Callithrix jacchus: one gene and its partner. The protein of the gene in region 2 interacts with the protein of the main gene of each other region in a biochemical or structural test. Links are inferred from orthologs where the notes say so. Each region holds a gene or a part of one and is shown on either strand. Other genes may lie near its edges.

Region 1 (4,268 bases), on a different chromosome or scaffold from region 2:
CCAATGTTGGCATATTTTGGGCCTAATTAGGCCACAAACTAGTACTTTAATTTTAAAACTAATACTAAATTTAATATCAGGTTTAATGATTTCATTCCTAAAATAAACTTTAATTAACTGCATTATAAAATTAACCATTATTTATTCAGGTAAAAATAATTTATATAAACACTTTCATTTGACAATGAAAACGCCAGCACTAGGCTTTTCTTACAGAACAAGCTGGTGATATTTAAGGCATCTTTATGATTAGAAGCAATGTACAGTGCTCAGCAGAGATCAGATAAACATCTACACTAATAAAATAAAATGTGGGCTGAATCAGGAAAATACTTTTGTTATAGGAAATTATTAAAAACAAGTACATTAAAGACTAAGAAAGTGTATTAAAATATTAAGATAATCTAACAAGTTACATTTTATGCAAAAGAAAAATGTAATATATTAAAACATTACCATCTAAATTAGAATCCATAAATGTTAAACTGTACAAAATTATGGCATTTGTTTTTGTTTTCAAAGCCATCCAAGTCCTTTTATAATACGCTAACTGGAACCCGGTATTTTAAAAACACATCAGGGAGATCTTCCCGTTTTCTGACAATACACATAAAACCCATTAATATACCTATTATACATGATGCTAAGTGTATTAATAAATACATAGAACAGACATTTGGGATGCCTCCCAACTTGAACCATCAAGGACAATGTCAAATTGTCCTTCAAACAAACATACTTTAAGAAACCATTCTACAAAATTAAAAGTAGTATAAACCAATGTCTCAAACTGCCAAGGTAGAAAACTGCTAGTCTGACAATATTCCCTTAAGACACACTATACTGTAAAACTTCCAAATTTTAATCAGTCTATTTATAATTATCCTCTTAATGCCAATTTATATGTGTAGTTCTGAAGAACTACGATAACTGAAATTCTGAAAGGAAGTTGAATTCTAGAATGTACCTTTAAACCAATAATTGATTTTACACGTAAATCTTAAACTGTTATTTCTCTGGTTCCCATTAGTGTTAGGTAAAATCTAAGGAAAATGCACACTTCTAATTTGGTCTGAGAAGACGTTTAAGAGTCCTAAAATTGTTTACGGAAACTTGAAAAATATGTAAAGTAACTCAGATAAAATTAGAAATAAAAAAACTGGAATAAACACGGGAATACAACCACCTCACAAAAGGAAATATTTCAAGCACGGCTAGTTTTTCTCTGAAAAAAAAAAAAAAAAATTATAGTATTTGCCATCTCACACAAATATCCCACCAAAATCAACCGACCTCATAAGCAAGTTTGTACTGACTCTATTAGAAGTAACAAAACTTCGAAGCGAAAAAGAGTTAGAGGTAGATGTTAAGAATGAAAACCTCTCTCAAATATAGTTCTAAATCTTTTATTTTACAGATCCTAAAACCACCCCAAAAGTGATAAGCAAGTTTCCCAAAAAGGTGTCTGAGGAATACAAATCCTCCACCGTATCCTGTCCATTGCATCCACTCCCACCTGCTACCACTTCTATCCACTTTACCAATACAATCACGATGAGCGCTACAAAATCGCTGCCAAATAAGAGCGCAATAGAAAGCCATTTGGTGGGGACCAAAAAGTACCTTTAGAGTCACTGCCCCTTCGCAAAAATTCGCCACGTGTTTTGCTCTTTAAAACATCTTGTCCTACCAAACTCTACCAAGAAGAAGAACTAAGACCGTCCTCTAACTTAACCCATGCGGATATTAGAAGTGGAAGGAGATTTCGACAGGTTTATACTAAGTAATCCACCAGCACAAGGCAGATGAGAGCTGTCAACAAATTAGGACCAAAGAAGAGAGAAAAAGTTGCAGATGTGAGAGGGTGCGTGTGCACTGGCGCGGGGGCCGAGGATGGGTGGGAGGGCACTTTTTAAAATGCAATCATTGAAAACTGGAGAATCCAAGTCCTCGGTCTCCCGACCGGCCTCCAAACCACAATTCCACAGGCAGTGCCGGGAAAGAACCTAATCCCCAGGATCGCAGGGATTTGGGGGCGGGGTGGGGCTGCCTCCCGCACCCGCGTGCCAGAGCGCCCAGCCCCCGCGATGAGGACGCGCTCCGGACACTCACGTTTTCTGCACCGGCTTCCGCCGCTTGCGACTGGCATAGGTGATGTTGGCGCTGCTGGTGTTCATGGTGCCCAGCCGGCGGCGGCGGCTCCTCCTCGGGCACGGGCGTCCGGGTCCCCGGGACTCGGTGTCTGCTGGGACAACTGCGGAGGCCGGCGCCGGGTTCCGCGAAGTCTTGCCCGCTCCACCTGCGTCCTCTCCGGACAGCGGCGTGAGCGCCGCGCTTCAGCGACCCGGCTCCCGCACTCCGCGCCAGTCCAGGTGAGCTGCCCGGGCCTGGCGCCGTGAGGGGTGGCGAGGGGCGGAGACCCGCGAGCGAAGCGGCGCAGGTGCGGTCTACACCGGCAGAGGCGGCGCGGCAATGCCCGCAGGTGAGGCGGCCCGGGAGGAGGAGGAGCCTGGGCTATTTAGAATCCTGGCCTGGGTCGCGCACGGTGGCGCCGCGCCCCGTGACCGCCGCCGCGGCCCCTTGGGCGAAGGAGGCGCCGCCGTACTGCTCCCGGGACTTCCCAAATGCTGGGTGCTTCCCGCCTGCAGAGCTCCAGCGCCGGGCACTAGTCCCCGCTGCCTCCAGCTTCCGTTCAGTTACACGGCTGTCTCTGGTCTGAGCTGGCGGTCCAAGGCACGCTCGGAATAGAGCGTCAAGGGGACTAACCCGCCACTGCCTCCCGCCGCCGCGCGCACCGGCTGAATAGCAGAAGCGCCCCCGACCCCTCACCGGCCCCGCCCCGCCCAGATCCTGCGTAGCCCCGCCCCGTCCTCTTGCCCCCGCCCACTGGATTCCATTCCATCTTCCTTGAGGGCCCCACCCTCATCCCGGCACGTGATGACGTAGGACGTAACAACGCCCCCCGGTAGCCATCTTCTTACATATGCAAACTCTTTTTAACTAGACTGTATATCAAGATATGACAAATACTGAGCTTAACTTCACCTGTCTGAGGGACGGTGGATCAGCTAACTTATGGCTAAGAATTACAAGAAACTGGTAGACAACCAATGGGACTATATATTTTCCTAGTTGGGGAGGCGTTAGAAGCCAGATTTTAGTTGAGACTTGAAGGCTAGGCGTTTCATTGACCTTTTTTGGGGTGGTGTATGCGGGAAGTCTCTACAATAGACAGGAAAATAGAAAATAAGGGGACTATTATGTGTTGTGTCATGGAGGACAATATGGAAAAATATTGGGAGTAGTTAATAGTATTGAATACTTTTGAGAAATTCAAATTAGGTGAGAACTGAAAATGTCATTTTGTCTTCTAAATAGGTACTCACTGATGACTTCCGTGAATGCTGTGTTGGTGGGGTGATGGGCCTGCAAATAACATTGAAGTGGGTACAGGATTGAGCCGGAGATGAAGAAGTGGCATAGTCAAGCAGACATTTCTTTTTCCATGTTTAGCTGTGGATGAGAGAGACATCAGATGGTAGGTTATGGGAATGAGGAATTAAATGAGGGTTTTCTAATTTTATTTTGGTTTAGTTTCTTTCTTTCTTTTTTTTTTTTGAGACGGAGTTTTGCTCTTGTTACCCAGGCTGGAGTGCAATGGCGCGATCTCGGCTCACCGCAACCTCCGCCTCCTGGGTTCAGGCAATACTCCTGCCTCAGCCTCCTGAGTAGCTGGGATTACAGGCACGCGCCACCATGCCCAGCTAATTTTTTGTTTTTTTTAGTAGAGACGGGGTTTCACCATGTTGACCAGGATGGTCTCGATCTGTTGAACTCGTGATTCACTCGCCTCGGCCTCCCAAAGTGCTAGGATTACAGGCGTGAGCCACCGCGCCCAGCCAGTTTTTTTTTTTTTTTTTAGACAGTGTCACTCTTTCACCAGACTGGAGTGCAGTAGCGTGATATAGGTTCAATGCAACTTCAGCCTCCCAGGCTGGAGCAATTCTCCTGCCTCAGCCTCCCGAGTAGCTGGGACTACAGGTGCACACAACCACACCCAGCAAATTTTTATTATTAGTAGAGACAGGGTTTCACCATGTTGGTCATGATGGTCTTGATATCTTGACCTCGTGTATCTCGTGATCCACCTGCCTCCGCCTACCAAAGTGCTGGGATTACAGGCGTCAGACACCTTGCCCGGCCAGTTCTGTTTTTTTAAATGGGCGATACTGAGCAGCTGAGAGCAGGTGGAGACAAACTGTGTAGGG
Region 2 (4,055 bases):
GCCCCATCATGGGAGGCGCCAGAGACAAAGAGGAGGAGGACATGGGCCAGGCAGGGGAACCAGGGTGATGACCTGAGCCAGGTCTAAGGAACCACCACGCCTCCAAGGTTCTCACAGCTGACGCTGGCCAAAATATCGTAAAATTCTCATGTCCAAACTGGCTCTTCCAGCCTGGGTAACATGGTGAAACCCCGTGTCTACAAATAAATACAAAAAATAGCCGGGCGTCGCGTCGGCGCCTGTGGTCCCAGCTACTCGGGAGGTTGAGGCAGGAGAATCACCTGAGCCCGGGAGGTCGAAGTTGCGAGTGAGCCGAGGTTGCGCCATGGCACCCCAGCCGGGGCGACAGAGGGAGAGCCTGTCCCAAAAATACAAACAAAAAACCCAAAACCTGGCTTTTAGGGCAAGTTAATCACCCAAGAATTCTTAGATACTTCACTTGGAGACCTCAAATAAATCGATCGGCAAAACGATGCGCTTTTTAAAATCATGCCTGGTGCAGCTGGGTGAGCATGAACTTGTTCCCCAAATTCAGGGACCCTGACGTGTAAAGGACCCGGCTTTGGGAACCCAAAGGTAGGGGGCGCTGCCGAGCACCCCCGAGCCGGACAGCGTCCTCAGTGAGCAGCAGCAGGTGGCCCACGGCCCGCCCGCCCCCAGGGAGCAGAGCCCCGCGATCCCAGCGCCGCCAGGCTCTGCGGCAGCAGGACCACGACTCCGGCAGTCTACCCGGCGCGTGAGACCCGGGGCGCTCCCGTCCACGCACGACCCTCCGTTCAGGCGCGCCTCCCGCCCAGGCCCCGCGCTCCGTTCAGCCGGGTTGTCAAGAGGCGGGGCGCTCTCACGGCACCCGCACATGGGTGACCGACTACACCTCACTTTCGCGCATTTCACAAAGGCCCCCACGTCCGGGCGTGCCCGGTGGGTGGGGGTGCAGGGCGGAGAGCGCGGGCGGCCGGGAAAGGCGCCCGGACCTTCCCGAGAATTCCGAGCTGCGCAGGCGCCTTGAGGCTGGCGCGGGGGCGTGCAGGGGGCGCGCAGCGGCTGTTGAGGGAGGGTTGCCCGGGCCGGGCCACGCGCGGGGCCTGCGCGCGCCAGGGGGAGGGGCGGGCCGCGGCGAGGGCGCAGGCGCAGGCGCGCGGCCGCGGCGGCAGTTGGGGAGGGTTCTTCCGGAAGGTTCGGGAGGCTTCTGGAAAAAGCGCCGCGCGCTGGGCGGGCCCGTCGCTATATAAGGCAGGCGCGGGGGCGGCGCGCCAGTTGCTTCGGCGTCCTGGTGCTTCAGCTGCGCTGCGGAGCCCGTGCGGTCCTTCAGCCAAGGTAAGGGGCGGTTGGGGGAGGCTGGTGGAGGGGGATTGGGGGCCGGAGGCGGCGGGGGCTGGGCCGGGGCCCTGAATCCGCCGGGGCCGCGCTCCCCACTCCGGAGGCCTCCGCACCCGCTTCAGGAATGGGCCGGGCGGCCGCGGGCTCCCCGAGGCTCTTCAGCCGCAGCGGGACAGAGGGCCGGGCTGCGGGAGAACCCCCGACCAGCCTGGCTGGGGCGAGGGGCCGAGGAGGCCGCGGTGCGGGCGGATGCGGGAGGGTGCGGGCTGGCCGGCGGGGAGCGCGGCGGGGACTGGGCCCGGGCCCGCAGCCGCCTCCCGGAAGCGCGCGCACGCTCCTGGCGGTTACCGCGCTGCGGAATGAGGTCATCCTTTGTCAGCCGCCCTTCTATTTTCGGTTCACTTAAAACTCCGCAAATCTCCTGTTGGGCTTTAAAAACGTGGAGGGCGCGACGGCATTTCGTGTAGCCCCTGTAGACATCCTGCAGGGTGTGAGACCGCCTCGCTGTCCTTCCAGATGCCCGAGGAAACCCAGACCCAAGACCAGCCGATGGAGGAGGAGGAGGTGGAGACGTTCGCCTTTCAGGCAGAAATTGCCCAGTTGATGTCCCTGATCATCAATACTTTCTATTCCAACAAAGAGATCTTTCTGAGAGAGCTCATTTCAAATTCCTCGGATGTAAGTCGCTTGTTAACTCGGAGTAGGGTTTTGGTTTCAGTGGGGTTGGGTGGGGGCTGCATGCTTAATTTGTAATTTTTGTTGATAGGCATTGGACAAAATCCGGTATGAGAGCTTGACGGATCCCAGTAAATTGGACTCTGGGAAAGAGCTGCATATTAACCTCATACCAAACAAACAAGATCGAACCCTCACTATTGTGGATACTGGAATTGGAATGACCAAGGCTGACTTGATCAATAACCTTGGTACTATCGCCAAGTCTGGGACCAAAGCGTTCATGGAAGCTTTGCAGGCTGGTGCAGATATCTCTATGATTGGCCAGTTTGGTGTTGGTTTTTATTCTGCGTATTTGGTTGCTGAGAAAGTAACGGTGATCACCAAACATAACGACGATGAGCAGTACGCCTGGGAGTCCTCAGCAGGGGGGTCATTCACAGTGAGGACAGACACAGGTAGGCGCCCGAGCATGCACGGGTTAGTCAGTGGCGGGAGGGTGGGATGCTGCAGCCCTTGGACCTCTGAGGCTTCCAGCAAGTTGTGTTTGCCCAACGTTGAGGAACAAGCTAGAGCACTTAATATGGCATGACTTGCTTACTACTTTGTGGCAAGGCACCTAGACCTGTTGTGGGAACCTTTTCATCTGTAGTAATGGCAAGTCTTGATAGATCTGAGTGAGGCATGGCTTGAACGCTAAGTTGATTGGATTATTGAGTCAATTTTCCCTACTTCTGCAGGTGAACCTATGGGTCGTGGAACCAAGGTTATCCTACACCTGAAGGAAGACCAAACTGAGTACTTGGAGGAACGAAGAATAAAGGAGATTGTGAAGAAACATTCTCAGTTTATTGGCTATCCCATTACTCTTTTTGTAAGTTTCTATGTAATTGCAGAGTGAATGCCATGCACAGTGGCTCACGCCTATAATCTTAGCACTTTGGGAGGCTGAGGTGGGTGGATTACGAGGTCAAGAGATCGAGACCATCCTGGTCAACTTGGTGAAACCCCGTCTCTACTAAAAATACAAAAAATTAGCTGGGCATGGTGGCGCGTGCCTGTAAGCCCAGCTACTCGGGAGGCTGAGGCAGGAGAATTGCCTGAACCAAGAAGGTGGAGGTTGTGGTGAGCCGAGATCCGCGCCATTGCACTCCAGCCTGGGTAACAAGCGAAACTCTGTCTTTAAAAAAAAAAAAAAAAAAAATTGCAGAGTGAGTTACTCTCTGTAGATGACTGGGGTGACTGAGCTACATCCTTATTCCTTAGATCTGTTGAACTTGGGTTGTTATTTATTAGTGTGGAGCCTGGGGAACCTAAGCTCTATCTACTACCTTAGTCTATAAGATACGTTGATGAGAAGCTGCCTGGCTGCTTCTGGCTTGGCTGACTAGGCTTTGGCCTTAGTTGAAAATAGTTGCTCAGTGTTACCAGTTGCAGCAGTGATGTGATTTCACGTCTTGTTTTGAAGGTGGAGAAGGAACGTGATAAAGAAGTCAGTGATGATGAGGCTGAAGAAAAGGAAGATAAAGAAGAAGAAAAAGAGAAAGAAGAGAAAGAGTCTGAAGATAAACCTGAAATTGAAGATGTTGGTTCTGATGAAGAAGAAGAAGAAAAAAAGGATGGTGACAAGAAGAAGAAGAAAAAGATTAAGGAAAAGTACATCGATCAAGAAGAACTCAACAAAACAAAGCCCATCTGGACCAGAAATCCTGACGATATTACTAATGAGGAGTATGGAGAATTCTACAAGAGCTTGACCAATGACTGGGAAGATCACTTGGCAGTGAAGGTGAGTGACTGAGTGGTGCTTCGAGCTTGTCCTTAGTTACTGTCTTTCCTCTTCCACCACAGATACCTTCTGTAATGCATTGTTCATTGGTACTTAAGTGTGTATGTTTTATTACAGCATTTTTCAGTTGAAGGACAGTTGGAATTCAGAGCCCTTCTATTTGTCCCACGACGTGCTCCTTTTGACCTGTTTGAAAACAGAAAGAAAAAGAATAACATCAAGTTGTATGTACGCAGAGTTTTCATCATGGATAACTGTGAGGAACTAATCC

Evidence for each region.
Region 1: the proteins of HSP90AA1 (region 2) and AHR form a complex in vitro, tested with the Homo sapiens proteins (2 studies listed by BioGRID). The link is inferred for Callithrix jacchus from reciprocal best matches to the Homo sapiens genes HSP90AA1 and AHR.

What each region holds. Positions count from the first base shown.
Region 1 is NC_133512.1:41,143,186-41,147,453, forward strand, and holds the start of AHR (aryl hydrocarbon receptor), read right to left. Parts: upstream 2,801-4,268; 5' UTR 2,178-2,800; coding exon 2,113-2,177; intron 1-2,112. UniProt on the Homo sapiens protein: Ligand-activated transcription factor that enables cells to adapt to changing conditions by sensing compounds from the environment, diet, microbiome and cellular metabolism, and which plays important roles in development, immunity and cancer.
Region 2 is NC_133509.1:137,003,789-137,007,843, reverse strand, and holds the start of HSP90AA1 (heat shock protein HSP 90-alpha), read left to right. Parts: upstream 1-1,255; 5' UTR 1,256-1,317; intron 1,318-1,836; coding exon 1,837-1,998; intron 1,999-2,086; coding exon 2,087-2,453; intron 2,454-2,735; coding exon 2,736-2,869; intron 2,870-3,463; coding exon 3,464-3,784; intron 3,785-3,901; coding exon 3,902-4,055. UniProt on the Homo sapiens protein: Molecular chaperone that promotes the maturation, structural maintenance and proper regulation of specific target proteins involved for instance in cell cycle control and signal transduction.